Xenopus tropicalis: one gene and its partners. The protein of the gene in region 5 interacts with the protein of the main gene of each other region in a biochemical or structural test. Links are inferred from orthologs where the notes say so. Each region holds a gene or a part of one and is shown on either strand. Other genes may lie near its edges. The genes, in order: ran, alyref, rbm15, nup62, nxf1 and nup214.

The links.
Region 1: the proteins of nxf1 (region 5) and ran form a complex in vitro, tested with the Homo sapiens proteins (2 studies listed by BioGRID). The link is inferred for Xenopus tropicalis from reciprocal best matches to the Homo sapiens genes NXF1 and RAN.
Region 2: the proteins of nxf1 (region 5) and alyref form a complex in vitro, tested with the Homo sapiens proteins (2 studies listed by BioGRID and IntAct). The link is inferred for Xenopus tropicalis from reciprocal best matches to the Homo sapiens genes NXF1 and ALYREF.
Region 3: the proteins of nxf1 (region 5) and rbm15 form a complex in vitro, tested with the Homo sapiens proteins (2 studies listed by BioGRID). The link is inferred for Xenopus tropicalis from reciprocal best matches to the Homo sapiens genes NXF1 and RBM15.
Region 4: the proteins of nxf1 (region 5) and nup62 form a complex in vitro, tested with the Homo sapiens proteins (3 studies listed by BioGRID and IntAct). The link is inferred for Xenopus tropicalis from reciprocal best matches to the Homo sapiens genes NXF1 and NUP62.
Region 6: the proteins of nxf1 (region 5) and nup214 form a complex in vitro, tested with the Homo sapiens proteins (4 studies listed by BioGRID and IntAct). The link is inferred for Xenopus tropicalis from reciprocal best matches to the Homo sapiens genes NXF1 and NUP214.

Annotation. Positions count from the first base shown.
Region 1 is NC_030677.2:157,739,435-157,743,978, forward strand, and holds part of ran (GTP-binding nuclear protein Ran), read right to left. Parts: intron 3,836-4,544; 5' UTR 3,821-3,835; coding exon 3,785-3,820; intron 3,706-3,784; coding exon 3,621-3,705; intron 2,266-3,620; coding exon 2,140-2,265; intron 1,877-2,139; coding exon 1,689-1,876; intron 1-1,688. UniProt on the Homo sapiens protein: GTPase involved in nucleocytoplasmic transport, participating both to the import and the export from the nucleus of proteins and RNAs. Switches between a cytoplasmic GDP- and a nuclear GTP-bound state by nucleotide exchange and GTP hydrolysis.
Region 2 is NC_030686.2:27,889,029-27,894,214, forward strand, and holds the end of alyref (THO complex subunit 4), read right to left. Parts: intron 4,032-5,186; coding exon 3,900-4,031; intron 3,347-3,899; coding exon 3,199-3,346; intron 3,118-3,198; coding exon 3,054-3,117; intron 2,512-3,053; coding exon 2,334-2,511; intron 1,589-2,333; coding exon 1,574-1,588; 3' UTR 1,343-1,573; downstream 1-1,342. UniProt on the Homo sapiens protein: Functions as an mRNA export adapter; component of the transcription/export (TREX) complex which is thought to couple mRNA transcription, processing and nuclear export, and specifically associates with spliced mRNA and not with unspliced pre-mRNA.
Region 3 is NC_030678.2:72,274,917-72,280,506, forward strand, and holds the start of rbm15 (RNA-binding protein 15), read left to right. Parts: upstream 1-1,670; 5' UTR 1,671-1,762; coding exon 1,763-4,273; 3' UTR 4,274-4,307; intron 4,308-5,590. UniProt on the Homo sapiens protein: RNA-binding protein that acts as a key regulator of N6-methyladenosine (m6A) methylation of RNAs, thereby regulating different processes, such as hematopoietic cell homeostasis, alternative splicing of mRNAs and X chromosome inactivation mediated by Xist RNA.
Region 4 is NC_030684.2:38,697,729-38,702,820, reverse strand, and holds part of nup62 (nucleoporin-62 C-terminal-like protein), read right to left. Parts: intron 4,997-5,092; coding exon 4,850-4,996; intron 3,743-4,849; coding exon 3,590-3,742; intron 3,105-3,589; coding exon 3,021-3,104; intron 2,351-3,020; coding exon 2,266-2,350; intron 2,154-2,265; coding exon 2,009-2,153; intron 1,893-2,008; coding exon 1,843-1,892; intron 737-1,842; coding exon 602-736; intron 1-601. UniProt on the Homo sapiens protein: Essential component of the nuclear pore complex. The N-terminal is probably involved in nucleocytoplasmic transport.
Region 5 is NC_030680.2:36,504,049-36,509,140, forward strand, and holds part of nxf1 (nuclear RNA export factor 1), read right to left. Parts: intron 2,866-5,092; coding exon 2,755-2,865; intron 2,628-2,754; coding exon 2,569-2,627; intron 1-2,568.
Region 6 is NC_030684.2:12,377,330-12,382,421, forward strand, and holds part of nup214 (nuclear pore complex protein Nup214), read right to left. Parts: intron 4,989-5,092; coding exon 4,905-4,988; intron 4,346-4,904; coding exon 4,067-4,345; intron 3,579-4,066; coding exon 3,423-3,578; intron 3,298-3,422; coding exon 3,195-3,297; intron 2,746-3,194; coding exon 2,670-2,745; intron 1,774-2,669; coding exon 1,674-1,773; intron 1,480-1,673; coding exon 1,380-1,479; intron 453-1,379; coding exon 382-452; intron 285-381; coding exon 1-284. UniProt on the Homo sapiens protein: Part of the nuclear pore complex. Has a critical role in nucleocytoplasmic transport.

The DNA of each region.
Region 1 (4,544 bases), on a different chromosome or scaffold from region 5:
CTGCACAGATTTTACCCTTTATGTGTATAGACCAACAGATTTACACAGCACCTTAAAAAGCAAATGTAACCCAAAAGTAGGATAATGGGTCCTCCAAGGACTTTATGAGCACCAAGTCTACCAACAGCTCCATATTTTTTTTTTAAAGGGCAAATGATAAAAACCAAAGCTCTAATGTTGTGCTGGAAAGTAATAATATGCTCCAGTAATATCCTAAACTATGTAGTTGTATAGCTAATCCTCTACGCAGAATGCGTGGTTGGTTTTTACTAACATGGTCTGAGAGCCATACATAAACGGGCAGCATGTCACAGCTGTCCAAGGTGGATACCTGGTTTCCTCTTGTATTTTATATGGGTAGTTGCATTTTTCTATGTTTTCCCCACTGCTGTCCCTCCTTGCTTACCTACCTAACCGCTAAAAATCTAATTTTCAAGCACATTTAAAGCAATGCAACGTTTTGTAACTTTTAACCTGTAGAACCAAACTAAGACACCCACACCACTACCCTAAATGACAGCACAAACCCAAACCAAGAGTTAATTCTGCATTAATTGCAGTCTTTGATGTCATCTTTTTCCACCCAAATAGCATTATTCTTAATAGCTAACAAAATAAGTGAGCTAGGAATAAACAGGGTATGCGCAGTAACAGTAAGCACTTTCTGGTGCCATGATTTTTCTTGATATGCTAAAGATAACTTCATGCAGAAAAATCTAAGATATGAATAGCATGAATCTGTTAATCAGATGGTATCTGCTAATTTATGCCAGGAAAACAGAAAAGGGCAGATATTGTTTTCATTTAAAGTAGCTTAGAATACTTTTAAATTATGCAGAAGAGTGGGACCTCATTTAAGGTGCAATCTTGTCTAAAGCGCAGCTTGAAGGTAAAGGCTAAAATGTAATACATGTAACCCAAGTTGTATTCTAGGTAAATTCAGGGAACGAAAGCAAATGAAAAAAAGGGTACCTATCATCTAAAATTAATTAGTTCCCCCTAGTGGAGCTGAAGGCTGACAAGCCCAAAATCCTGTTAGGGTGAAGACACATGGAGCTACTAGTAGCAGCTACTTGTCGATGCTACTAACAGACAATGCTGATCATTTACTGATAATTCTCTACATGTGTTTTAGCAGAGGCAATTAGTATTGTCTATGGCAGGGTATTTTCAGGCATTTAGGGCTCTGGCACACGGGGGAGATTAGTCGCCCGCGATTAACTCCCTGTTCGCAGGCGACTAATCTCCCCGAGTTGCCTACCCCTACCATCCCACCGGCGAACATGTAAGTCGCCGGCGGGATGGCAGACGCGGCGGCGCGATTTCCGGAAATCGCCGAAGACTCGCGAGTCTTTTTCGGCGATTTTAGCTGCTGCTAGTTGCTCTGTGTCTTCGCCCTTAGGGGAGATTAGTGGCCCGCAATAGTGAATATTTAGCTCCACGCGTGCAACTGCCCCCTTAGGCCAGCCATGGAATAGTATTGTTTTCCCTATGTGTAAACTTCTAGCCTATTTGCAAGATTTTGATTCTTTCTGAAACAAGGGGAGATATATCAATGTAAATTCCAAGCTAATGAAAAGTATTGGCCGCTACTGTTAGGAGCAAACAAAACAATTGTGTGCCACTAACAAAAAAAAAAAAAAACCCATGCATATAAAAAATGGATACTTCCTTCAAGTTAAGCTTACCTGAAGATTCTTCTTCCTATGGAAGACAATTGATTTGGCTTTAACTTTTCTGTCCTTTATGTCCACTTTATTACCACACAAGACTATTGGGATGTTTTCACACACTCTTACAAGATCTCTATGCCAGTTTGGTACATTCTTGTATGTGACTCTTGATGTAACATCAAACATGATAATGGCACACTGGGCTGGAAGACAGTTAAACACAGCATTAAAACATTTAGACAAGGAATCCAAAAAACATTACAATTAACAAGTTACTATTCTATAGTGCTAAGCAAAAACTACAGACTACAAAAACCACCAATTATCAAAATTAAGTGTACATGTAATAAAAGTTAATCTGTACTTATGTTTACATAGTAATTCAAAGCTAAACCATCAGTTCTACACGGCACTCAATACAACTGTGTAAAGTATGTGAAAGTTCCAAAGTCTAAACATTACATACCCTGGATATAATATCCATCTCTGAGACCACCAAACTTTTCTTGACCAGCTGTATCCCACACGTTAAACTTGATTGGCCCTCTGTTAGTGTGGAAAACCAGGGGATGAACTTCAACACCAAGTGTGGCTATTGCAGGATAGAAGAGATAAATAAGACAAAAGTGTTCCTTAATTATGGGGAGGGAAAAATCCTACAAGGAACCAACTAAAATTCATAGACAACATTTTCTATATAACTATGAAGAATACCCTAGTCAAAGTAAGAATGCCGGCACTAACATAAATGGAGAATTTAGGCTAAGACACACTAATCTACTTGTAGCCAGCTATTTATTATGGCTACAAAATACCCTGCCATAATACTGAAAATTATCTCTGCTAAAACAAAATTCTCATTACTGTCTATTTTGCAACTGCAACAGGTAGCTGGCTACAAGTAACTCCATGTTTCATTGCCTTTGAAAGTTTACTGTGGTTACTGGACAATTTAAAGGTACGCCTAATGGTTTTCTTCATAATGAAAGCACAATTCTAAGAAATGTAATTCTAAACAACTTTCTAATTTACTTAATATACATGGTTATATTTATTGCAAATGCTTTTTTAAAAATGCTATAAGGAGTTATCTGCCTACATTTTCTGTACTTTGTCAAAAGCAAGCCGAAAAAAACCTGACCAGTTACTTTGTCGGACCTAAGGAACAGGGTAGGAAACACTGCTTTTGATCGCACTTACATTTACAAATGATTTTTTTTTTTTTTTTTTTTAAGGATTGTCATGATTTTTATGGTATACTTTTATTCCCACATTACACTGTTTACATAACAAATAATTCACTCTACCATTTAAAATGTTATTCTTCAACCAACAAATGCATTTTTTTTAGTTGCAATATAGGTGTGTAGGCGCCATTTCAGTGCATTATGCCAGAGTCTGAGCTTTCAGAAGGAGCCAACCCTACACATTAGAACTGCTTTCAGGTAACCTATTGTTTTTCCTACTCTCATGTAACTGTAGGAGTCCGAAGATGGACTTGGATTTCTTACTGCCATTCTAATATCTACCACTTTTAGGGTGAAGACACATCAGCAATTAGTCACCACAACATTTAAAAACCCGCCGCAACCAATTGTGTTTTCGGCGTGGGGACTAATCGCCCCATGCGTCTAAACCCTTTGCAATACAGACGTCAGGGAGCTGCCTTTCCATGATTCTTTTTCTCGTCCTCGAAAATATAGACATGGCTAGCCCCCCAGAATTCCTTTAAAATTAAGTACTGGAATTTTTATTTTTTTTTTTAATATGGATTAAAAAAAGATTTTGATTAGAGATCCACTTTAAAATTATTTTCATATTTTGAATCTGCTGTTTATGTTCCATTTACACTTATCACTACATATGTTAAACCAGCAAGCTGTGCAAAAGCTCACCTTTAATCATTACCATCTGCTTTATACACCACACAATGACCAAGTTACATACCTACATATTTCTTCTCAAATTCACCAGTCAAGTGACGTTTCACAAAGGTTGTTTTACCGGTACCACCATCCCCAACCAGAACAAGCTACAAAGAATAATAATATTAGAAAACATGCAGCACAAATTCCTAATAACTTTAAGGTTTTTTTTTTTTGTTTTTTTACCTTAAACTGCACTTGAGGTTCTCCTTGGGCTGCCATGGTATGTTTGTCAGCCTATAAAAAGAGGAAAAAAAAGTAACAGAATTCTTACTGTCAGCTGCAAGATGTATAATAAGACTACTCATTCCCCAGAACATTCAGCTTTAGCATAGTCAGCCCACATCACTTGATCCTCCCTCACTTTTACACCTCTTATTCATGAATGTTAAAGGAGCATTGTGTAAAGAGAAAATAGTTGATACTGTAGGTTTCATCTTACACTGTTTACTAGGAATTCTTGAATGACTCAGTGGTTAAAAAGGTAAAAATCATGGGAGGGTGTACATTTGCTAGAACTCACCAATGGTTCTAATCTATCATGGGCTAGTGGCCTTCCTCTAAAAAAAAAAAATAATGCACCAGCATGCCTTACTTTACCTTCCTAAACATTCCCTGTGACACCACAAAAAGCAGAAAAAAAGATGGAGTGGGGGTCAGAATTACATCATGCATTTTTATTTTTTGTAAATGAGCACTAATGAGATAGGTTAGTGATTAAAGTCATTGGGTGCCAGTTGGCAAGACATGCCCCCAGTGATTCCTAATGTTCCAGTTGAGTGCACACAAATTAAAAAAAATATACTTTATAAACTGATCAACTGCCTTACACAGTACATATCTTTACACCATACAAAGCGTTAAGGCCATTGGACATTCAATTACATATATGGGTGCAGTAAAGTCATTCTAATAGACCTTTAACGTTTTCCCATGAACCTGAACA
Region 2 (5,186 bases), on a different chromosome or scaffold from region 5:
AAGGGATATTTCTGTTATTTGGATCTCCATTAACTAAATATAATTAAATATTTTATAAACCCAATTGGCTTGTTTTGCTTCCAATAAGGATTAATTATATCTTAGTTGGGATCAAATACAAGGTACTGTTTTATTACAGAGAAAAAAAAATCATTTTTAAAAATTAATTATTTTCTTATAATGAAGTCTATGGGCAATGGCCTTTCTGGATAACAGGTTTGCAGATAAGGGATCCCATACCTGTAGTTGAGAATCCCAGAACTAGCACTGCTCTCTTCAGTTGTTAACTAGTAACAAAAGGAGATGACCCTCTAGCGGTGATTAAATCACACTTTGCTCAATCTAAATGTTTTAACTACTCTTCCTGTAAGCCAGAGCATGGCTGCAGATGAATGAAGGACCTGTTAGGCCAGTGCCACATGGGCAGATTCTCAGCCTGGGGATGAAGGCCAAGAATCTGCCCCTCCACTTTAGAAACCTACAAGTTGTGCCTGTACCCAGGAGCATTGCTTTGGTCTCAAGGCATGCAGACGCAGCATAACCTGCTGATTCAAGTGTAAAGGCAGATTCTTTGTCTGTGGGCTGATTCCTAGCCTTCTGTAAAACAGGCAGAGTACGAGTCCCTATGCGGATACCAGACTGTTAGCTTGCCTGCATCCAGAAGCATGGCCTGATACCATCTTCTATTACTAGGATTGAGACAATGCTTCAGAGTGTAGGGGTAGATTCTCTGCCTGTTTCCTGTATGGCAGTAGCCTAAGACTTTAAATAGTCCCATTATCTTTAAATAGACCCTGAATAAGAGGGGAGAAACCTTTCTACAAACATCCTTTGTTAAAAAAAAAAAAAAAAAAAAAAAAAAAACACACTGATCTACAGTTAAATAGATTTTATGGAAGTCATGCACATCAGCCAGTTATGAACACATGTTTTTATTGCCAGAGAAAGCAGTTTGCAAGAAGTATAATTAGAAAAGATTGTACCCAGTTCTCTCACCTTCAGTGATCTCAACTTACAAATTCCATAGGAACTACTATGATGATATTCTTTTAACCACCCTCATAGCAAATTACCCAATATATGTACACTTCCCAAATTCATCTAATAACTAAACATCCAATCACCCACTAAGTCTCATTTTGGTAAGTCCATGCAGCAAAATGTGACCATTAAATCTGACTTGCATTTTTTTTACAATTTAGCCTAATTTTTAAAAGCAAATACTATTTAAGAAGGCATGTAAACACGGTCAGAGAACACAAATATGGTGGACACCTGGAGAAAGTTTAAAAATCATCCCATACACAAAAACAGCAACTGAATAACAGATTGATTTTTTTTCTTTTTTTATTAGAGGAAGGTGAAGAGCACCCTACCATCAACATTCAACCAATAAAATGTCCCAAAATAACTCCGTACAAAACAGGTCTGCATCGGACATAGAAATTAAGAAAAAAAATGAAAAAGACTTTACATGAGCTTAAAACCTATGGGAAATAAAAGCAAAACAAAAATCCATCTGTTGACATTTTTCTTCAGAGCAAGCAACATCACAGGAACAAGACAGAAGGGATTAGCTGGTGTCCATCTGGGGAAGAGAAAAAGACCATGCTTAGAATTTATCATTTGTAAATAGTTGTCAAACTAAGCACTAGTTATAAATTTTGGTTATATTTGCTTAGACACAAATATACCCCCAAGATGTAGCCTATAGCAACCAGTCAGCAATTCAGATTTGTCACCTACAAGTTAGAAAACACAAGCAGAGATCTAATTGGCTGCTATGGGCAACATCTCTGGTGATGTTGGCTTGCACACCATTCTATATATGCCCTAAAAAGTATTCATTACTCAACATAAGTGCAATGAATAGGGCTTTCATTGTGCACTTTTGCCTATTTGAAAAATATCTATGGTTTGCATTTTCTTGCACAATCTGCCCAAAATTACTATGAACATCTGTGCAAAATTACCACGAACTCGCTTTCATTTTCAAGTTCCCTATATAGAGCAATTGTGGAAGTGGCCATTTTTACAGATAGGATTAATGTTTAGCCCAAAGGGAAACCAGCACTTTATTATTCATAATTGCCTACAAAATTAGGGTTTTTCCCCACTTATCCAATATGTCTCCTTTAACATTTGTGAATATCCCTTAGTAGTTACTGGAAAATTAGTAACAGTCAGAGGAAGGCAAAAAAAAAAACCCATCTGAAGCCTCTCTAATTTGCTGCAATGGGGAAAAAAAAAAAAAAATTCTTTCGACTCCAAGATGGCAATCGGACCAGTCCCCATATCAACTTGTACTGGTAGTAAATCCTGTAGTTTCTTACCCGAGCATTGTAAGCATCAAGCTGTGCATCCAACTCTTCTGCTGACAACTGCTGTTTTGGATTTCTTCCAGCCCCCCTTCCACGACCCCGATTTCCACCTCTGCCGCCACGCCTGTTTGCACCAGAAAAACCTATAGCTCCTCCTCGTGGCCGAGTGATACCACCACCCCTACTTTGGCTGCAAAATATAAAAAAAACACTACTACATTAATGGTGCTGGGGTTGAAAAGTTCACTCATAGTGCAGTATATCTTAACGTGAAATTTAAAATAGCATATATTAGCTATTAATATAAAGCAGACTTTTTAAAGGAATGATGTAGAGCCCTTGACACAAGCCAGAACCCCTGCATTGCAAGCAAAGGTTTTATTTAAAAAAAAAAAAAAATTGAAATTACTTTCAAAACTAAAGGCACATGCAACTAGAAATGTTTCTGAAATTAACTTTGATCCTTGTGTAGTTAGCCTTTCCACCACAATCTGCTTAAATGGTCCTTATAATTTATTAGTATGCAGCAGGTGCTTTTGTCCTGGCCTGGCAGCAAAGCAGCCCAAAATATTAATTTCTGCACCATAATACATCCTGTGTTCATGCAGTCTGCCAAGAGCAGTGGTTCAGCCACTGCAGGTAAAGGAAACATATAGTGTGCTGCAAGCCCTAGTATAAATTACAATATCAAGAACATACATTATCCAAGCTAAATAAACCTTTTTTCCTTACCTCTGTATAGGTCTTCTCTGTGCTTCTATCTGTGATGTGACCAACTGAATGTTCATGGGCCGACCTACAACAATAGGAGAGGGCTGATTTTAGACAAGATAATTATGTATTTTATTTATATAGTTGGCCATGTTAAGCAACTCACCATCCAGTGGTACCCCATTATACTGCTTCATTGCTTTCAGAGCATCGGCTTTTCTTTCAAAGTGCACATCTGCAGTGCCCAAGCTTCGCCCAGATCGGTCATAATGTACTGCTGCCTTCTTTAAAGTACCAAACTCTGCAAAGAGCTCCTGTTGAGAAACCACCACATGTACTGATTTGCAGAGTAGCGAAAGTACAGCCTAACCATATCAGTAAAAGCTTTTGAATTACTGCAGTGATTGTGACCAACTTATTTGCAACTTTATACAGTTTCCTTGCATTTGCATGGTTGAAGACATATCCTATAAAAATTATAAAATATGTACCAGTGAGTTACTCTCCTCTGGATATAGGATTGAGCTTAAAAAAAAAAAAAAGTTGTGTTTCAGGCAGGTTTTCAAGCAGAAGTGAAACTTCCTGGAATGCCCTGCTATTGGTGAACACTCAGCTGAGTAATAAAGGTCAGATGTGCTCTGTGGAGGATATAAAATACCACAAAGTTCAGGTGTGAGCGTGTTTTAGCTAAAATATTTGCACTGTGCAAGAAGGCCCTTGTTTACATTTTATCGCTAAGAGGAGATTCAAATGTTCTATCTGCAGCAATTCCAATGAAAAATTTATTATGGAAGCACAATTATGTGGGTGACAATGCCATCTATCCCTCCCCCAAAAAACACGCATATTAAGCCAGTGACTCCTCACCTGAATATCTGCATCAGAAACGCCAAAGTCAAGATTTGACACAAGAAGTTTTCCTCCAGTCTCCATACCAGCGCCTGTACCAAAACCACTATCGAACAGATCATGCTGCCACTTGTCAGGGAGTTGTTTCGGCTGTAAAACAAAAAACAAAAACGTCATTAATCCAAAAGCCACAAAACACTGCCTGTAGCGCAATGCCCACACTGAAGCCAAGAGATCTCAAAAAGGTAAACTCTACCAACTGCCATACAACGAGAGTAATGAGGTTAACACTTGAGAAAAAAAGAGGTGGTGCAGTCAGACATCTAGGATAGATATCAGCTCCAGCTAAGAGGACTAAGGTAACATTACTCTGCATGCAGGTATGCTACAAAGCCTTAGGACAATGACACCGGGCACAGCAGGCACCAGTGATCTGCTGCCATATCACTCATACAAGATTTTGAGATCTTAAGGTGGCCGTACACATTAAGATCCACTCACTTGGCGACCTACGGGTGGGCGATATCGGGGGAATTTAGGCTAATCCGCCATTTGGCCCTGGGGCCAAACGATCGAATTAGAACACCGGTAATAGGCGCAGTCAGTTTGGGGACAGCATCAACGAGTCGATGCGGTCCCTGATCAGACCTGCCTGATGGATATCTGCCCAATTTCAGGCCAGATATTGGTCAGGCAGGCCCATCGTTAGTGCCCATACATGGGCCGATAAGCTACCGAACCAGTCTAAGGGACCGATAACGGCAGCTACAATCAGCCTGTGTATGGCCACCTTTAATCTAGCACAAACGCATGCTGGGAATCTTCCGTGCATCTACAATGACATCAGGGGGGTATGTTACAATATAATGTCAATTGCCAGTCAATACCAGTAATGCTATGCTAATAAGTTGCTAGGAGAAGCTGGAACATGCACAGTAGTGGAATATGGTGCCTGACCTCCTGGAAATTGCAAGTTGCAAAAAGCATGACGCTACCATTGGGTAAGCATTCTTAAACATAAGCTAAAGTAGGGTTTGGTAAATGGTCCTTACTGCAAAAACAGAAATTTGTATGCCAACATTTACCTTATATTTCACTGCCTGAGAAGTGCAGCATTACTTAGTAACTAACCTTTACAAGTACATGAGACCAGTTATCCAGAACGCTTGGGACCTGGGGCTTTCCAGATAAGGGATCTTTCTGGAATTTGGATCTTCATACCTTAAGTCTACTAAATATAATTTAAATATTGTACAAACCCAACAGGCTTATTTTGCCTCTGATAAGGATTAATTATATTTTAGT
Region 3 (5,590 bases), on a different chromosome or scaffold from region 5:
ATTCTTGCATTATGTGATGCATCCATTGCCCACATTTGCATATTAAATAAGGGCTCCATTAAATTCTGTGTCACCTTACATAGCTGTAGGACCAACAATAAAGGCCATAATAAATAATAAAGTTCATAAAATATTAGAAAAATCCATTAAAACAATTATCTGTTAAAAGAATATTTTAAACAGGATACTGCCCTCAACAGGTCTATGCAGGGGACCCAAACATGTTTATTAAACATTTAACCCATTCAATTAGCTCCTACATCACTTAATTTATATCAATACCTGAAAACAAAAAAATGCTTGAACACATCCAGTAGAAGCTCCATATTCATCACTCATCTAAAAAGAAAAGAAGGATATGTCATCATAATATTCTAAAGTTCCATATTTCACATACAAGTATGGGACCCGTTATCCAGAAGGCTTGGGACCTGGGGTTTTCCAGATAAGCAGTCTTTCCGCAGAGAAAAAGGAAGCCATTTTTGGCATTCCCTTAATTCTGAACTTTCTGGATAATGGGTTTCTGAATAAGGGGTCCGATACCTGTACTTGATAGTTTTTGTTATCTATTTTGCCTCGCTTTGTAATATTGTGTTCAGTGCCTCACCTAATGAGTCACTTATTGGTGGGCATAAATTAAAAAAAATCTGGGAAATAACCTTTTTACGAGGTTCATGGTTTAAATAGGTTATTGGGATCTGGAGCTATATTCTCCTACATTCTGAACACATTGCCACTGTTCACATTTAATAAAGGGATCAATGCCCAAAACATTTTGTGTACAATCACATAAAAGTATCTGCAAGGCTTGAATTCTAGAATAAAGTACGCTGGAAAATTTGTTTTGAAAATTGCACTTTGCACATAACACGGTATTAATAAATGTACCTTATAGAACATTGTGTTAAAATGTTAAAGAGGTTACCAAAGGTCTACAATCTATATATCCCTGTATAGTAACAATACTGCATTAGGATTGTTTGACAATAACAGCAAAGGAAATACCAGTAAGATATGTTTGAGTGAAACACAAACATGAAATAGTGTATTAATAATCTGTAGGGGTGGTACTACAAAGGGAAACAGACTAGAGATTCAAAGGGCCTAGAATGGTCCTTACAAAAAAACAATTTTAATTACCCAATTTAGCATATGTTTAATAGTTCTAAAATGAATTTGTTGTGGGGACCAGTAACAACTAATTACACCACTAATAATGTGTAAAAAAAAAATCTACTTTTAACTGAAACGACGTTCTCGGCTTAAAATCACTTGAACAATTATGCACCTCCTATCCAGCAGCCTAGTAACCTGCAAAAGTATATAGAATCGATTCTACTGGGTTGTTTAAAACGCTTTGCATCTGATATGCCAATGTTGTCTCTTTCCAACGTTCCTCTTTACATTTCACTGAAATTTTACAAAAGTAAAATTGATATGAAACAAATGAAACCTTAGAAACCATTGTAGCACAAAAGATTTCACGCGTGAAAGGATGGATCGAAGCTTTAATAAACCTGCAACGTAGCCATTAGCCAACCCATAACGCCCCGTGGGAAACGCAGAGAAATAGCGGAAGTGACGTGCCCAAAGACCACCCCATCCTATGCGATCTTGTAAGAATGACTGCAGAGCTATCCAATAGAATTTTAAGAAAGCCAGAAAGTACCCAATCGCTATTCAGGGCGGTCAATTAGGCGAAACCGCTGCAAAATGGCGGAGTGTAGTTGTGTGTGAAGACACTATCATCCCGTAACTCGCCATGAAGGGAAAAGAGCGCTCCCCGGCCAAGGCCAAACGGTCCCGGGGGGCGGAGGAATCAACTCGCGAGAGAAGCGGAAAAAAACTGAGCTCCGGTGGAGGCAGTAACGGATCATCGGGAAAGACATCTGAAAGCAGCACAGGCCGCCGGAGCCTGCATGTGGAAAAGGCTATTTCCTCGAGCCGCGACTATGATCAATCGAGCAGAGCCCAGGGCTTGCATCGCTACGGCTCCCCCGGGGCAAGCAGTGGCAGTAGCAGCAGTAAAGGTGGCGCTGAGAGCCGAGGCGGCGGCGGCCGGGCTACAGAGAGCCGTGCAGAGCCAGAATACTACAAATCCTTGCGGATAAGCGAGCTGGGCTCCTCGCTAAGTGACGAGGCAATAGAGGATGGACTTTTCCATGAATTCAAAAAATTCGGAGACGTAAGTGTGAAAATCTCTCGCGAGGGGGACGAGCGTGTGGCCTTAGTGAATTTCAGGCGCGCCCTGGATGCCCGAGCCGCTAAGCACGCCCGCGGGAGGCTTGTCCTTTACGACAGACCCCTCAAGATTGAGGCTGTTTATTTGAATGTCGGCGGTACTAACCGGAGGCGCAGCCGCAGCCCTGGGGAGAAAGACTCGTATGGCGGACTCGCCGCCGCTGTTTCCACACTAGCCACACACAGGCACCCTCACGGCCAGCGCGCACTCTCCCCCGGCGGCCTGGGCTACAGAGACTATAGGCTGCAGCAGCTGGCTCTGGGGCGCCTCCCACCGGCTCCGGCAGCTCTACCCAGGGAGCTGGACAGGGAACGGGAATACAGCCTTTATGATAGCCGGCTAAGGTCTACCTACACAGTAGATCCCCGACTGAACTTTAGAGACGAAGACCTTGCTTTAGAGATTGATGCCAGAGCTAATCGTACACTCTTTGTTGGAAATCTGGATGTCGTTGTCAAGGAGAGTGAAATTTATAGGGTCTTTGGACGTTTTGGAACTATTACAGAAGTAGATATAAAACGAGCTGGTCGTGGGCAGCAAACGACCTATGGTTTCATAAAGTTTGAAAACCTTGACATGGCTCACAGGGCAAAGGTTGCAATGTCCGGCAAGATGCTTCGTAGTCATGCTTTAAAGATCGGCTATGGGAAAGTAGTACCAACAAACCGCCTTTGGGTGGGGGGTCTGGGACCTTGGGTACCAGTAACTGCATTGGCCCGGGAATTTGATAGATTTGGCACCATCCGTCAAATTGATTACCGCAAGGGGGAAAACTGGGCGTATATACAATATGAAAGTCTGGATGCTGCCCAAGCTGCCTGTACCCAGATGAGAGGCTTCCCTATGGGGGGTGACCATAGAAGACTTCGTGTGGATTTTGCAGAAGCAGATGTTCGTTTTCCACATCCTTATGTTCAGCCATTACCCATCCCTTATATTGATTTTGGAGAGGAGACACCAGGACATCGGACTAGTGAAGCCAGCAGAGCCAGAGATCGTTCACCACCTTTAATATTCAGGGACAGGGAAAGAGATGCTTATACAAACAATGATTGGGTGTCACCTCCTGCCAGAGACAGACACAGAGTCACTAGTGAATCTCTTGAAACAATAGAACGACGTGCAGATAATTGGGCTTTAGACAGAGACCGTGAAAGAGATGAAGTGAACAGAGATCAGCCCAGGAAAAGGAGACTGGATGATAGCCGTCACCTAGACAGATCACCAGAGAGTGACCGCTCTAGAAAGAGACACTGTGTCACTCCTGAACGTAGCCCTGAAGGCAGTGGAGGTCGAGACAACCGTTACAATGACTCTGATCGAGTAGCATGCCGCTCCTCACCTTCTAGAGATTGGAAGGGAAGCCTGGAGCGGGGTCAAGAAGACAAACATGATAGAAAAAACTCAGTTGAAAGAGAAAGAAGGCATCGTGTACCTGCAAATAAAAGCCCTTTAAAAAAGGATGAGCATCCAGAGGGCAACAGCAAAGTGAAACCTCCACAAAAATCAGAAGCAGCACACAAGCTGTGTCTGGCTTGGCAAGGTATGCTGCTGCTTAAGAACAGCAATTTTCCATCCAATATGCACCTTTTGCAAGGAGATCTTGGAGTTGCATCCAGCTTGCTGGTTGAGGGACCTTCAGGAGGAAAGGTGGCACAGCTAAAAATTACACAGCGCCTACGACTTGACCAGCCAAAGTTGGATGAAGTTACTCGACGCATCAGAGTGGCAGGGCCTAATGGCTATGCCATCCTACTTGCCATTCCTGGTACTTCCGAGGGTTCATCAGTGGACCAAGCCAGTTCAACACAACGACCCCTAAGAAACCTGGTGTCCTACTTAAAACAAAAACAAGCCGCAGGTGTTATCAGCCTGCCCGTTGGGAGCAATAAAGACAAAGATCATGCAGGAGTTCTTCATGCTTTTCCTCCCTGTAATTTTTCCCAGCAGTTTCTTGATGCTGAAGCAAAAGCCCTTGTGAAGTCTGATGATGACTACCTTATAATGATTATAGTTCGTGGGGCATCCTAGGTCCATGTTTGTATTTCTGTCTACTATTCACAAGGTATTATGGGATACAGTATAACTTTTAGTTTTTTTTTTTTTTGTAATCGCAAGTTCAGTCTTTGTATTGCAGTTTTTGATCTGCTTAGCAAAAGCATTTATGTAATTAAACAGGACCGGACCATATTCAAGTGTTGACGTTTCCTGCCTATTTCCCATTTTCTTTAAATTATATTCTCTTAGCATAGGTAATCACAATCTTCTGATTTTGGCAACTTCTTGAATTTTTTTAAGTGTGAGATTTCTGCTAATTTTTGAATACATTACTTCTTAAATTTGGTTCCCAAACTGTCACTGGACTGTAACACCAAAAATGTTCTCATGTGATGCTGTCCAGCAACAATTGGGAATACAAAGTTAAAAAAGACTTCCATGTATTAATTTGACCCGTTACCACATGCTCGAGTATCCACTTTTCTGCTAGTTTTCTGCAGCATGCAGTAGAGTTCAGTGTAAATACTGTATGTATGTGTATGTGTGTGTGTATATATATATATATATATATATATATATATATATATATATATAATATATATACACACACACAAACATATATATGTTTATCCTACACATCTAAAGAGAGGATTTGAATGATATTAAGAAGGAATTTTATTTTTAAACTTACTCTGTTTAGTTTATTTCCTCCATCAAGAAATGGGTCATATAGCATGTTTGTAGAACAGTGCCATATAAGTGTCAGATATAAGAGTGCCCCATACCACAGAGAGCTCCTTAGCCAGTATGTAGGTTTCATGCATAGAGTAAGCTATGCAAGGAAGCTCTAAATTTGCCACGTGTCACATAAATCACATACATTTTTACTATGTAGGGTCATAGCTAACAATTGACTTTGTCATTTATACTACATAGCATGTATATAGAAATAAGATTATCAATTGCTCCCTTAATGCATATGTCTAAATTTCAAATCTTTTAGATGTGCAGCTATTATTTTTTGTTTTATTGGCAAGTGTGCTTATAAGTTCAGAAGCTAAGGACGTTTCAAAACACCAGAAATGTGTTCTTGCATATATGTAAACTTTAAAAGAGCCCTGTTGTGTTACAGGACAAAAGATATTACTCGACAGACACTGGAGGGCTTTGTGGGCCATTAAAAGTTGGCGATCATACAATGACAGAATTTGCGGTGTCCTGGCCAGTACACTTACAAGTTAATTTTAGGAATTCCTTATGTGAGAGGCAATTTCATGCAGGCGACAATGCTTTGTGTGCCATTGGGATCCTAGAACTGCCACATCTGTCATACTGCCTCATGCTACAGTA
Region 4 (5,092 bases), on a different chromosome or scaffold from region 5:
AACCATTATTTTTCGGTTAATATTCATTTTTTTCAGAACTTCCTATCCCTTCCTCGAGTATATAACAGGAATGTAAAAGCATAATTTCATCAAAAAGGTCTTACCTAAGGCACATCACATACACAAACATTATTTCAGAACCGAGAACTTGTTTTAAAATGATTAAGCTACACTTCACTATCCCCCTCTGAGCAGCCTTTCTTCATGCAGAGGATTTAAACGTTGGCAGCACACTCCAGGTTCATATATATATATATATATATGATTTCATGCAGAACCGACAGTTAGGTGAAATAAATTGGGGTGTCCTTCCTTTGCTTAAACAATATATTAGACCAAAGTGTATTTATAAATAACCAACTCAATGACACAACCCTGCATGGAGTGAGTAGTAAAGGGTAACATGAATGATATGCAATTTTTATTCTTGAGGGAAACATTCTGAATATGTATTATTCTTATTTCAGGAAGATATTCACAATTATTTGGCCCTAACCATGCCTTCCCTTTCTCATAACCAAAGCCTACTTGAGTATAATCACAAACCCAGATCTCCTTGTATCTTATACTTCTTAGTTATTACATTATAATACTGGCTCACGTTTTCTCTCTCTCTTCATCTGCATGCTGGAGGTAAATGGTTCCGCTCTGCTCTTTCACAGATTCCTCCAGAGGAGTCAGAAGGTCCTCCAGTTCTTTTTGCTGTGACAAGATGAAGTCCAGTTCCTGATCCAACCTGATAGAAGAGTAGAGAGGGTGAAACAGACCCAATAGCTTCCAAAGAGCAAGCTTAGCATGCAGGTGTACCTGTTTAATCACCATATATTTCTACACAGCCAGACAGAAAATGAAAATACACACAGCAAAAACAAGATTTTACTTTCTATTGAATTGTTTTTGTTTGTGGATTTTACATTACTTTAAACATTGCTTTTTCAATCTGTTCACATACTTGTTCTTGTGCCTGCTGTGAGGAAGATGATTGAACGTGATGGACATACATCTTTTTTTCAATCTAACTTACTATGTTACTATGAAATATACAGAAAATGACAACATATAAAAAGGACTTCCCCTTCCCTATGCAACCATGTCAACTGACTAAGGACAATACCAATACCCAATGATGGACATCTTGATCAGCAAAGGCATAAATCTTTTTAGATGAATCAGCCCCAGGAGCTTCAGCAAGAGGAGAGCTACTCTGCTGGTATTTAAAGGGTGTCTTGATAGGAAAAAATAAATAGGTGCATTGGAAAGGGGAAGTACTTTTAATATGTTTTAATTTCCTGTACCTTCTTCATGGCAGGGGAGATTAAACCTTTGGTACCCACTGCCACGTGGAAGGAACAGGAAACTACTTTTGCCCACTACAACTTTGGGATTTTTATCTTTACAAAACCCAAACTTTCAGCACTGCTTCTTAAGATGAGGCACCAGAAGTCCCCTATCTAGTTACACCAAGTTTGCATATGCGTTCAAAGATTGACAGGGCTCCAGCATTGATGCAAGTGTTGTTACTGATCCTCCCTCTCCTTTCCTAACATCCCACCCCCTGTCCCCTTTTCACTTTGAATTGCATGGATTGTGATTCCCAACTACTCATGTTTTATATTTCCTACTTTTTTTTTTTTGCTATGAAAAACTCAATCTATTTCTATAAATGAGAACATTAAAAATAGAACCAACTATTATTTAATAGGTTTATGCAATATTGTACATTTAAAACATTTGATTTTCAGCTCAGGTGTGCCTTTCTTACATATATTCAATCAATCAACCAAACATCATTCATCTTGGTCAAATTTTCTATGTTTTTGCCGTTTTACTTCCTACTCATACCTTTTCTGGTCCAGTTTAACTTTTTCCATTTCTCTGTGTAAAGTGGTGATCTGAAATCAGACAAAAAAATAAATAAAAATAAATTCTGCCTGTGAAAACATTATTGCACACACACAAAAACTGTTTACACTAAGCCACACAAGTGTTTTTTTCTCAGATTTCTCACCCGTTCTCCATTCTGCATAAGAGTTCTGTCCCATGCGTTGACCTGAGTTGCTTGTTGCAGAAAGTGTTTTTCTTGATCTTCCAATTCCAAACTCCACTTATTAATCAGATTTTCTAGCTGAGCATAAGTCATTGTTGCAGCAGTACTAAAAAGACAAACCATTATGTGGAAAAACACAAATCAAAATATCAGTCAACCAGAGAAATAAAATTAATGACTGCTATGCTGATAATGGTATCATTTGTGACACCTCTTACCCGACTCCTGCAGCTGCAGCAGAACTGACAACATTAGCCTGAACTGTGGTTCCAGAAAGTGGAGTTCTCATACCAAGAGAGGCTGCTGAAAATAAGGACAGAAGTCTCTAGATGAGAACCAGCAACTATTTTATGCATGAAGAAAGACTTCAACTATACTATAATCTATTTTCCTAAAGAAAAGCCATAGCATTGGACTAAAGATTTGGTTTATTCGGCTGATCAGTCTAATAATTTATTGCGAACAAGTGCCTACAAACATAGGCAGTATCACACATGCAAACTTTTATTTTGCACATAAAACAACCATAACTTCATGCAAAGGAGAGAGGTACCACAGTGCTCCATGGTCACTGAGCTCCTAATGAGTATTGTGCCAGTGCGCTTCCTCAGTATACTGCGTATACAATACACATGACCCACACTGCTTATCTTAATTATTGCTCAAAATGCTCAATATGGCAAAACAGTGTATTGTAGGGCAAGAAAGTGCAAAGCAAGGAAAAAGGATGTAATAGTGCACAATTTCCATTATTTACACACAATTACAATAAGGTGGAAAAGAGCATAGTAAGGCAGAAAATTGCAATATTGCAAAACCCTGCATTACAATCACCAAAAACATCTGTTCTCAAGGCTCTGTTGTTCACTCATATAAGAGTAAACTTAAAATTACATTATGATCCCGTGAAAAAAGTGTTTAACACAGAACTACAGAAATTATTGCTATGCTAAACTTCCCACTTTATACTTACTGCTGGTAGGCAATGTTCCTGTTGGTGCAGCACTGCTTGGCAAAATCTTCATTCCAAAACCCGTGCCTGCTGTAGTCGAACTCACTAATAAGAGATATGCATCTCACTTTACTGAATACAAAGCTATGCACTGAGGCCCTTGGCATAAGCAGGAATCAGATTAAAAGAAACACAAAGGATCACAAGTATGACAAAAAATAAACTATATAGCTAGCAGATTAGGGCATCTCTTAACAAAAATAAGTAAAATAGTTTATGGGAAAGCTCTTTTTCAAATAACTATCCACACAGAAGATAGTGTAAAACACAAAAAACAGACATGAGTAGGGAGAAACTGCCTACTTTTTAACCATAACTCATAATGAGAAAGTGCTTATGAAGTAGCCCTAATTTGTCTCTTTTTTAACACTTACCACACTTTAATAGACCACACAAAAATAACATAAAAAACAACTTCTGTTGTATTTTAACCAGCAGCTCACAAAAAAACTGGTGAATCACGTTGGTAACTCAGTACTGATTATTTATATTGAACAGTACTATGTTTAAAAATGAAAATGAGAACTTACATGACAGTCCACTTGCTGCTGCTGTTGTTGTTGTCGTCACAACAGCTGCAGCAGTTGAAGTAGCCAAAGAAGAGAAGAGAGAGGGCCCAGATGTCCCCAGAAGGGAAGAAAGGGAAGGTGTGGCTGTTGTGGCGGTTCCTGTGGATACCATTGCTGTATCAATTTAAACATAAGAGTTACAACTGTTATATAAAAGGCAAAACTTAGAAGAAAGTACATTTTACAGAAAAAAAATAAATGTAAAACTTCAAAAGAGAAGAAAAGGCATTTTATTGCCAATAGATTAGTCAGAATGCTATATTTATTCTGCAGAATGCTTTACCATACCTAAGTAAACAGCTATAAAAGCTCTCTCTGCTTGTTTAAGACAGCAGCAGCCATTTTAACTTGGTCTGACTTCACTTCTGTACCTGCACACTGCTCCTGGAACAGCTCTAAGCTCAGATTACACAGCAAAGAAAGGAGGGGGAGAAGGAGAAGGGAGGGAGGAACAAACTGATTTTTCTGAGAGCAGGAAGTCTGACACAGAAGACCATATATTATATATATATATAATATATATATATATATATAAAAAAAGAAATGTGGTGTTTCGTTTCACTGAAGACCCAAAGCACCAGTTCTGTAAGTGGTTATGGCTGTATTTACATAGCCCTTTCGGACAAAACTTACTTAACACTCACTTTAACAGTTAGTTTACCTAAAAAATAACTTTTAGTATGGTGTAGATAATGGAATTCTAAGACACTATGAAGTTAGTCTTCATTTTCAATTAAACACATTTTCAAGACAACAAGGAAAGACAGTTAGTGATACACAATTGTCATTCTGGTGTGCTTAACCCCACCCCACCTCTTTTAAAGATATCTTTACTGTATAAACAGTCTCATTCTATATTGCTGCAACATTGGAACATGGTTTACACAGTGACCTATTTTACTATCTTTGGGGAGTTGATCTCAGCAGAGATGAGGAATTTAGGGAGGACGTTTTAAGCACACTAGGATTTGAATTCTGTATAGCCTTACCTGATAGTTTGGGGCTTTACCTATAAGGGTAACTTAACTGCCATTTTGTTTACAAAACTCAAGAATATAAGGTTACTTGGGTTTTATTTTTTGTAAGTATTTTAATAGTTACAGAAAATAAATAAACACAAATATGCATATACCTGAAGATAAGACCTATGTGTAAAATAACCTTTTTGAATTAAGACAGAGCTAAAAGGTCAATGTGAAACTGCCAGTGGGCAGTAGTTACCTGCAGATGGGTCTGCTGGTTTGCCCAATGATGTAAGGCTAAGCCCAGGTGTTGGTGCTACCGACTGCGAGGCAGCTGGAGTAGAAGCAGTGGAAGGAACAGCAGACTGAGTCGATGACAATAAACCAAAGTTCAAACCAGGGGCTGCTATTGAGAAGAACACATAGGGAAAATGGTGATCCTCAAAGAAATGAATTAATAGGGTACAAAGATTGGGAAGAAGAGAAAGGCGACAATAAAAAA
Region 5 (5,092 bases):
TTCGTGCCAAAATCCACTTGTGTGCCTACATCCGAGCTAATGCAGTGTCTTTGGGTGCAGGCACATCCGAAAGTTGATCAGATATAGGTGCTGATTTTCAACCTGCATTTACCTGCAGGGGCATGTTGCTTAAAGGAACAGTAACACCAAAAAATGTGTATAAAAATAATTACGATATTATGTACTGTTGCCCTGTGCTGGTACAGCTGGTGTGTCTGCCTCAGAAAGACTGCTATAGTTTATATAAACAAAGCTGCTATGTAGCCATGGGGGCAGCCATTCAAAGGAGAAAAGGCACAGGCACAAAGCAGATAACAGATAAAGCCCCATTATATTCTACAGAGCTTATCTGTTATGTAACCTGTGCCTTTTCTCCTTTTTTCCAGGTTAAATGGCTGCCCCCATGGCTACACAGCAGTCTATTTATATAAGCTATAGTACTGTTACTTTAGCAAATACACAACTTTACCTGTGCAGGGTAACAATAAATTATATTTTAAATACTTTAATACACTTTCATTTTTGGCATTACTGTTCCTTTAAAGGTGGCCATACACGTGGCGATCCGACGATGTTTCGTACGACCATCGGTCGCACGAAACATCGTAAGATCCGCCACACACCATTCAGGGCTGAATCGGCAGGTAAGGAGGTAGAAACAATAGGATTTCTACCTCCTTCTGCCGATTCAGCTCTGAAGGGAGAATTTTGGTCAGGCGCCTTCTATGGCGCCCGATCAAAATTTTCAAACTTGTCCGATCGGCGAGTCGTCCGATATCGGCAGCTTCCTGCGATATCGGTCGACTCGCCGACATGCCATACACGCACCGATTATCGTACGAAACGAGGTTTCGTACGATAATATCGGTGCGTGTATGGCCACCTTTAGCCTAACAGCACTGATTAAAGATTGTGAATTGTTGACAGACAATCCCAGATATCACAACACAATGCACTATAATTTAATCTAAAAATACACTAATGTAATTGTTTGGCAATTACGTGAATACAAGCCACCCCGAGCGAGAACCATATCAATGAGCTGATGAGGTCGTTTGATAAGACAGAAAAAATTAAACCAGTCAAACATCTGCTTGATTTTTGGTCAAATATCAGTCAGATAGGCCCCATACATGGTAAAATAAGCTGCCAATTCTGTCTGAAGGGCCCAAACCATAATCTTATCAGCTACCTGTTTATGGACACCTTTAAGCTTAAAGGGGAAGGAAAGGCTAGTAAAGAGTTAATCTCAAGCTGCAGGCATACCTTCAGTTGTCTCAATAGTGCCCTTAAGTCTCCCCATATTTCAACTGGTTAGAAGATCTGAAGCCAAACAGGAAGAAAATACACTGAGCTGCGTAAAGAAAGTTCCCATAATGCCTCACTCCTGCACAGACACGAATACTAAGTGAACATGCTCAGTTAGACTATGAGTTAGCTTCCTGCTGATTGGCTCAGATCCACATTCCTAAGGGGGGGGAGAGAGTCCTTAGCATTCTTGAGGGAGGGGGGAGCAGGAGAGGGGAGAGAACAGAAAGCTGCGTGTCTCTGGCACAGGAATTACAGACCCAAATTATCCTTTTTCAGAGAAGTCAGTGCAGCGTTTCCGTGAGTGCTTATAGCTGTATTTACATAGACCTTTCTGATAAAGCTTACTTAGGGGGCAGATTTATCAAAACAGGAGTTCGAATCCCGAATGGGAAAAATTCGGATTGGAAACGAAAATTTCTGAAGGTCGCAAATATCACGAAAATGCTTACGAAAAAATCGTATTAGTCACGATAATATCGTATTGGCGATCTGAAAGTCACTGAATTTTTATACCAAACAATTGTAAACAGCGGCAGAGCCTTTCCAAAATTGTCGAGAATACACTCGAAGCGTTCGCATAAACGCTCCGAGCGTTTGGATCTTGGTAAATCTCCCCCTTAGTGTTTACCTTTATTTCTCCTTTGTCAAAGGGAACATAATAAGCAAATCTACACCTGGGCAGAATCAATGGCAAACAATGCTTTATTGTTTTACCTGCAGTCAGCTGCAAAAGAGCTAAACACTGATTGATTGCTGCCCAGGGACAAATTTGTCCAGTGTTTACACATAAATCCCAATGTGTATTTTCCATGTATTTTTCAATGCATTTCTGGGGTAAACCAATAACCTTCTCACCCATCACCTCTCAATAATTTCTTTACTGGTGGCAGACACAGCTACTTGCCTGGGGCAGCTTTCCATTTTAATGGAACAATTGCACTTAAAATGTACCACCCATTGAAAATGGATATTTAGACAACATTTCTGGCCACAAATTGCATCGGGTGATTGATGCGATTCTTGCCCAATGGCCAGCATTCTGTTGTTTGATCCAATAGTTGTGACCCACGGCCCTCAAGGTGGGCATATTGGGGAATGATCTGCACTTTAGTCAACCTTGCCAAACAAGTGGATCTTTACATGTATGGCCAGCTTTAGTCAGGTTCCAAGCTGCACCTGTTTAGAACCAACATCTCTGGGTGATCAATCATCAGGTTTTCTCTACAATACAGGAAAACAGCAAATGATTTAACTTACTTGGATCTCTGAGTCTTCTTATATTTCTGCTGTCCTTGAAATATTCTCCAAGACTACTCCTGTTCAAAGAGACAATTATATTTCAAACTAAATACTAACCTTTAATAACATGCATTTTCTTGTGCAACTCTGCTATTACAAACTGCAGAAATTGCTCAAGGAAAGAATAGAGAGAAAACAACAAACCTAGAAGGGTTCTGGCCTGGATTTGAAGGAATGCTCAGAGAGCAACATGCCTCATCATGATACACATTCAGAAGACCCTGCCTGTCTTCAGAATCATAACAGGCATAATACCTGAAAAACAGAAAAAATATTAGGAGAAAGTTGGCATGTGTTCATGTGATCAGGATCAGCTGTTTAGCTGGTAAAGAATGTGGGACACTGTGCATCTTTACCAGATGCAAAAAATAAAAATCAAATACTGCCTAAGCAAGCAGATGACAAGCTTGGTAGTGTCCTGAATTGTGGGAATTTTCCTTAAAGGAAAACCTTTTACCCCCCAAACAATGTAGGCCTCTATAAAAATATATTGCATAAACCAGCTTATATGTAAAACCCTGCTCCATAAAAATATACTTTTTAGTAGTATGTGCTATTGGGTAATCCTAAATAGAAAATTGCCATTTTAAGAATTAAGGGCCGCCTCCTGGGATCACAGGATTCACAGTGCACACAAACAAGCCAAGGCACACATACATGCTAGGCCCCATCAGCCAATGAATGGACAGTGTTCTGCCTTTTGCTCCCACACTACTTCCTGTTACAGTTAGAGCTGCATTATTTCTGGTCATGTGATCTGAGGGAGCAAACAGCCTGTCACTTAATGGTGGATCAAGGGAAAGGATGTAAAAGGGCAATATTTACTGATATAATATTCCAGTTTGGCGAGATTCTTTAATAGATCACTTAACGTAGTATAAACCATCAATATTCATTCTGGGGTATAGTTTTTTTTTTTTTAAAGGACATGTCAACTCCAAAAATAAATGTTTGTCTAATAAAAGAAAATATAATTCTAAGAAACTTTCCAACATACATTAAAAATTATTAGTACTTTAAAAGTTTTGGAAATGTAATTGTTTTTAAAAGTAACAACCAGGAGATCAGCAAATGCTGATTTCTATAATAATGTTTCAAGTGCCAGGCTCCTCCAGCAAGTCAGGTCTGTCAGTCTGCTAGCAGTTACATTGTTCCAAACACCAGAGCCAACAGGGCAGAGAATAGAAAATGACTGGCAAACACAACTTCTAATATGTATTATATACAAATAACTCTAAAACCATTACAAATATGCAATGAATGTATATTTTCAAAGTTGCTTAGAATTAAGTTTTCTTTTATTAGACAAAAAAATATTCAAGAGAGAAAAAGGGAGAATAATTTGGGCTACATCCAAGACTAACAGAACATATGTCCAATTCAAGATTGTGCCTGAAAACAAATAGCTGAAGATATTTTACCTCACACTGACCCATGGGGAAAAGTGTCGGTGGAAAGGCCTTTCTATCAGTAAAATTACTCTAAACAGCCTCCAGAATTACCTACCTTTGTCCCAGCATTCTCTCTGACCTGGTTCCTCAGTTAGAAGGCGATTGTTTTTCTTTACTTCCTTGTGCAGAGTGAAGCCCTGCCCCCACTCTCTGTTCAGTTCTCTCTACCTGTAGTCGACCTGGAGACCCTTCTGCGCATGACTGGAGTCAGCAGAAGCCAGTCTGTGGATTAGCAGTTTTTTTTGTTTTTTTTTATGAGAGACCTGAACAGGAAGTGGGGGTGGGGCTTCACTCTGCACAAGGAAGCAAAGAAAAACGATCACCTTCTGACTGAGGAACCAGGTCAGAGAGAATGCTGGGGACAAAGGTAGTTAATTCTGGAGGCTGTTTAGAGCAATTTTACTTATAGAAAAAAAACAAAGTTTACTTATTCTTTAAAGGAGAAGGAAAGGCAAAGTCACTTGGGGGTGCCAAAATGTTAGGCACCCCCAAGTGACTTAAAAGAGAAGGAAAGGCTAAGTCACTTGGGGATGCTAAAATGTTAGGCACACCAAGTGACTTTAATCGCATACCTTTTCCCCCGGGCTGGTGCCCCTGTTCAGAGACAACAGCACCAGCCCGGGGTACCTGTAGCGCTTCCTCCTTCCGTCTTCACGAGCATGCGCATGCGCAGTAGAGTGAAAAGCCGTACTTTAACAGAGAACTCGGCTTTTCACTCTACTGCGCATGCGCCTACCGTGTAGTCGCAGCGAAACAAAGCCGGAAGGAGGAAGCGAATCGCTACAGGTACCCCGGGCTGGTGCTGTTTTCTCCTAACAGGGGCACCAGGGGTACAAGGTAAGCGATTAAAGTCACTTGGGGTGCCTAACATTTTAGCATCCCCAAGTGACTTAGCCTTTCCTTTTCCTTTAAGTAGGAAACTCTGTATGACTTCAGATAAACAAAGTGACAAGTAGGACTTATCACCAGCGATTCTCTTTGTGGCCAGTGGAAAGGTTTTTTCGGGGAGATCGCCCACTATCTCTGCCCAT
Region 6 (5,092 bases), on a different chromosome or scaffold from region 5:
GCTTCCTAAAGTCTCTCCACCTGAAAACCCTTGAAATAGGCCATCCCCGGGTTTGCCGATGGCTGCAGCAGTGCTAGTAACGGTGGATGAGGATGACACGCCTGTAACAACACTAGGTTTGCCCAATGTGGATTCCACGGTGGAAGTACTGGAGGTGGAGGAAGCAGTTTTAACTGATCCAAAAGAAAACGATCCTTCTGCCCCAGGACCAAATAAAGACTTGCTGGTACCTCCAAACACAAAGGAGGATGGTTGGTTGGAATCCCTTGCAGCGGTAACAGAACCTGAAAAAGGAAAGAAAATTGCAGTCCATCATATCACCATGATAGTAGTTCAAGCAGAACAAGAACAGTAATATATATATTTTCCAGGGTGAGTTACCTGCAGAGCTGCCTCCCATGGCAGAGGTTGTAACAGGAGCAGAAGATACACTGTTGAAACTGAAACCACTGCTGTGAACACAAAAATGGAAGTGAGAGAATGAAGATGTTTTTTTTTCTTATAGTTACAAGTTATAAGCATTCATCTGCTTCAGGGACACTGCAAGCCCTGTTTCAGAAGTCACTGTTGGAATAGTTTAGTCGGACTGGGGGACCAATGATCCACTCGGAACCTAACTCAAGGGCCCACCACCCAGAAACCGCTGTTCCTGTTCCACTTTTTACTGTGCATTCCATAGTGGAACACATGGCAGCAGAGTCGTGCTGGCTGGGATCGCTTGCTTGCGAGTAGGTGGCAGGGCGACACAGGGTCCAGTATCCCAGTGGGCCAGTCCAACTCAGCCACCACTGGCCTCTAGCAGTAAAGGGCTCTTCCTCCAAAAAAAACATGCCTGCAATAGCATCCCATTTTCATTTCTGCTAACTCATAGCACACAATCTTGGCTGCTGTCGGAAGCTTAGCTACTCACCAGCAGCCCAGAGCACACTGAGCATGTGCAGTGTCACTGACACAAAAAGATGGCCGAACAAGAACCAAAATGGGGAGCTATTTTAAGGCCTGGATCATTACAGTTATAGGACGCCTGGACTTCACGGCTGGTACATTAAGTTCAGTATATAAACTACAGCACTATAAGGCACATTCGTTTTTAGGCTTCGGTTCTCATTAAATTTAAACTCCCAGCACAGCGTCGGACTGGGCCGCCGGGGTACCAGGAAAAAACCCGGTAGGGTGTTGGGTGCCTCTGTGTGGGGGGGAGTGAAGACGGCGGGGGCCATTGGGGGGTGCAGGGGCCCCTGAAGCAGAAGCCCCGGTGGGCCCTGCACCCCCCAGTCTGATCCTCCCTTAATCCCACCTTAAAACGGATACTTTCTTTTCTTCTACACATTGAGATTCCGTCTCATATGGAGACAGACTGCAGTCAATAGGCCACTTACCTTGCAGCGGAAAAGGAAACAGGCTTGTTGACCTGTGAGGCAGCTGTAGAGGCAGCAGGAACCGGGGTTGCTGGAGGATCAGATTTTGGGATTGCTTGCACTAGAGAGAGAGTAAAGGGTTATCATTAGAACACAGCTGTCCAATCCAAACGTGCTTATGGCTGGTAGCAAATAAACTGCTTTTAAGGCAAGGCAATGATAGTGTGTCATAAAATATGTAGTGATCTGCAGCAAGTTCCTCTGAATTCCAAGTTTATAACGCATACCTTGCCCTTGCACATCAGAGCCACTCACCTGCGGCTTTGTTGGAGGCGGATCCCTGCCATGTTTGAGGAGCGATACCGGTTGCAGATGCAGGTGCAGGCTGATTCTTCAGTGGACCAGCTGGGGCGGCCTAGGGAGTATTTATTTTTCATGAGTTTTATTTGCTTTGGGGTAATGCTGCTTATAAATAACAGTAAAAGCAAAGCGAATGCACAGCTATTTGAAGCCAAGGTCTTTGAGAATTATGACTTCCAGAATGCTGGGATATGTAGTTCTGCAAGGCCTGAGGCACTTACTTGTATCTATAGTATAAGCAGTCAACCTATAAAGTTAGCATAAGCATATTGAATAATGAGGGAATAGGATCATATTAGGGGTCTGGGCTGACACAATGGTAGAGGGCTGTATCAATGGTGCTATGCAGCCATCATCCAATAGGCAATAACCAGACAAATTCTGCAAATCATTGAAAAAATAGATTAAGAAAGAGAATCTCTAAGTTATTTCCCACTGATAGGTCCTGAATCAATATATTACAAGGAATGACATATTTCAGTGAAATAAACAACCATTTATTGGCTCAAAATTAAACCGAAAATTAAAAAAAAAGCAAACATATTAAACATACTACATGCTTCAATGGTGCGAAATGCGTTAGGAGAGTGGGTACCATGAGGCACTGGGATGCACCTATCCATCGTTTGGTATAGTATGTTTAATTTGTTTGCTTTTTTTGAATTTTCGATTTAATTTTGAGCCAATAAATGGTTGTTTATTTCACTGAAATATGTCATTGCTTGTTCAAATTCTGCAAATCGGATGCAACGGCCAATCTGAAAGTGACAGAGGCCACACCTCCCATCCCTTTTTCATGCTTAGCATCCAAGTGCACATGATGACTGGACAATCTGCAACAGGAACCAGCCCACGTGGTTGCTTAAGCATTAGGGGTCTACTGTCAAGCAGTCCAATAACATAACTTAGCAGGAAAAGCAGAACACTTTAATGAAAAAAATGAATCCGTACCTGCCGTGCTGGGACTGACCCAACTGTGGCCAAGACTTGGTGAATCACCTGGGCAGCTGATTGGGGAACTGACGGCCTGTTTAAAAACCAAAAACAGAGATGAGGGATTAATACTGAGGGTAATTACTATATAATACAGTAACACCAAACCAGAAGCCCTCCAGAGTTTAGAAACAACTCCCATCACCCCGGACAGACCCACTGCTGGTAGAATGTTGGGAGTTGTAGGTCAACACCTGGATGCAGATGCTTGCTGTGGTGCTAAAGGCAGAGTTATAAACATCACAACTAATGGTGCCTGAATATGGCAGATCAAGTGGACATGCATAGGTGAGGTAGCACGGCATTCTCCATTTTGTAACATGAAATGCTCTGGCAAAATCAGTCATGTTATCGGTGCAGTATGGGTTCCTTTGCACACAGACACAGTGTTGTCAGTAAAAAGAGAAAGCTGGGAGATTATCGTTAGCTTCTAATCAGATAGAGTGATGGCGCCACCTGCAGGTAGGTTGCTTTACTGCTTACCCTATGACCGTGGGAATGGTTGGGCCAGGCCCGTTATTCTTTAGCTCTTTCACGTTGACCACTTGGGGAACAGTCTGTAAAGTGGATTCGGTCAAAGAGGCAGCTGAAAAAGAAGATAGGTGGATAACTAAAACTCCCAGCATTGGATATGGATACTTAGTAAGATGGGATGCTACAAGTGTGTGAGTGGGGGGGGGCAACTTCCAGCAATACAGAAAGGAGGGTTACCTGGAATCTGATTGGCTGTTTGTCTTCTTATGGCGGCCACAGCAGCTTTCTGTGCAGCTGTTACGGTGGGGGCGCCATGTTTGACAGTCTTGGTGGCCATCATGGTGCTATCAGCTCCTTGTGGAATCACTCTGATCGACTGTGATGGAGCTACAGCTGCAACAACCAAATAATGCAAGAAATCAGCTCTTTGTGACCTGTAGCTTAGGTAGATATTAGCTTGCAGCTGCATTTTAACCCACTGCCACTGAGTAGTTTGCTATTCTAACTATGCACCACCCTCCTCGCTACTTTGCCAATGACACCCATCTGACCAATGGAATTCTTTAGAGCAAAGGTGGCGATACACGGCCAGATCTGCTCATTTGGTGAGGTCGCCAAACACACAGATCTGGGCTAGATTTGGAAACCCACATATGCTGGGCCAATCAGGCTGGTCTGAATGAAATGAAATCATCCACTGTGGTTTATGAAGACCCTCAAAAAGACTACATCAACGTACTGATGCATGCCTCATCAAATGGATTTTCAAACCTGCCCAGTTATATCTAGATTATTTTTCACCAGACATACTTTTTCCAGTACTTAGAAAGAAGAAAACACAAGTCTATGGAAGGCATCTCTAGAAGCAGATAAGTACTTACGTGTGCTTGTAGCAGGCCGTACACCTGATTCCAGTTTACCAAAGGGTATAGAAGCCGTGCCAAGGCCGGGCTGCACAGATGTTGTACGAACCACAGCGGCATGCTTGGGCACTCGAACCGGGGTGGCCTCTGGTGGAGGGGTCTCCTGCCTTTCTATTTCTCTAGGTGGTGGGTTCCTGTTGTCATTATCAGCCACGTCGGACAGGGAAGATGTCGAGCTTACGTCATCCAGGTCTTCGAAGAAGCTCGGGGCCAAGAAAGCAGAACGGGAAAGATTGGCTGCAAGCAAAAATGGCTCGTTATGGTCAGGGTGTATTTATTTTATTATGAATTTCTGGCTTGGTGCAAGTATTGATTATATAAAACCCAGAGCCTTCTATAGGCTGCCAGTCCACATAGGGGCTACCAAATAGCCAATTATAGCTCTTATTTGCACCCCCAGAACTTTTTCCATGCTTGTGTTGTTCCCCAACACTTCTTCCACTTAAATGTGGCTATAAAAGGTTGGGGATCCCTGCCATGGACAGTCACTATTTATTGGGCCTGTGAGGGGCTGTTTGGGCCTCTGTGTACTTGAAAGGCAAATTATCTCTCTCTCTTCCACTCTTACATCAGGCACAGTCATCTATCAGCAGCAATTTTATCCAAATATGCACGGGTTACTGATCATATACATAGAATTTCTGCCATAAAGCATGGCCAAACTGTTGTACGTTCCACCATGCAAACAAAGAAATGGACTAATGTTTTTATGTTACCGTTGCCTATTCATAGGAATTTTAAAGAGATTTTCTGCCACAATGGCTCTATACATTATCTCTAATTAATGAAAAGGTACCTGGAGCCAGAGATCGAACAGGAGGAGTTTTCCTCTTAGTTAGAAAGTTTCTTAGCTGACATTGCTTCACTGTGGACAGTTTGGCTGCAAATGGACAAAGAACAGCTTAAGTCAACATAACTATGATAACACAACACAAATGCCACGGAAATGACCAATCAGAACCTGGCAATTGCCATAGAATGGAT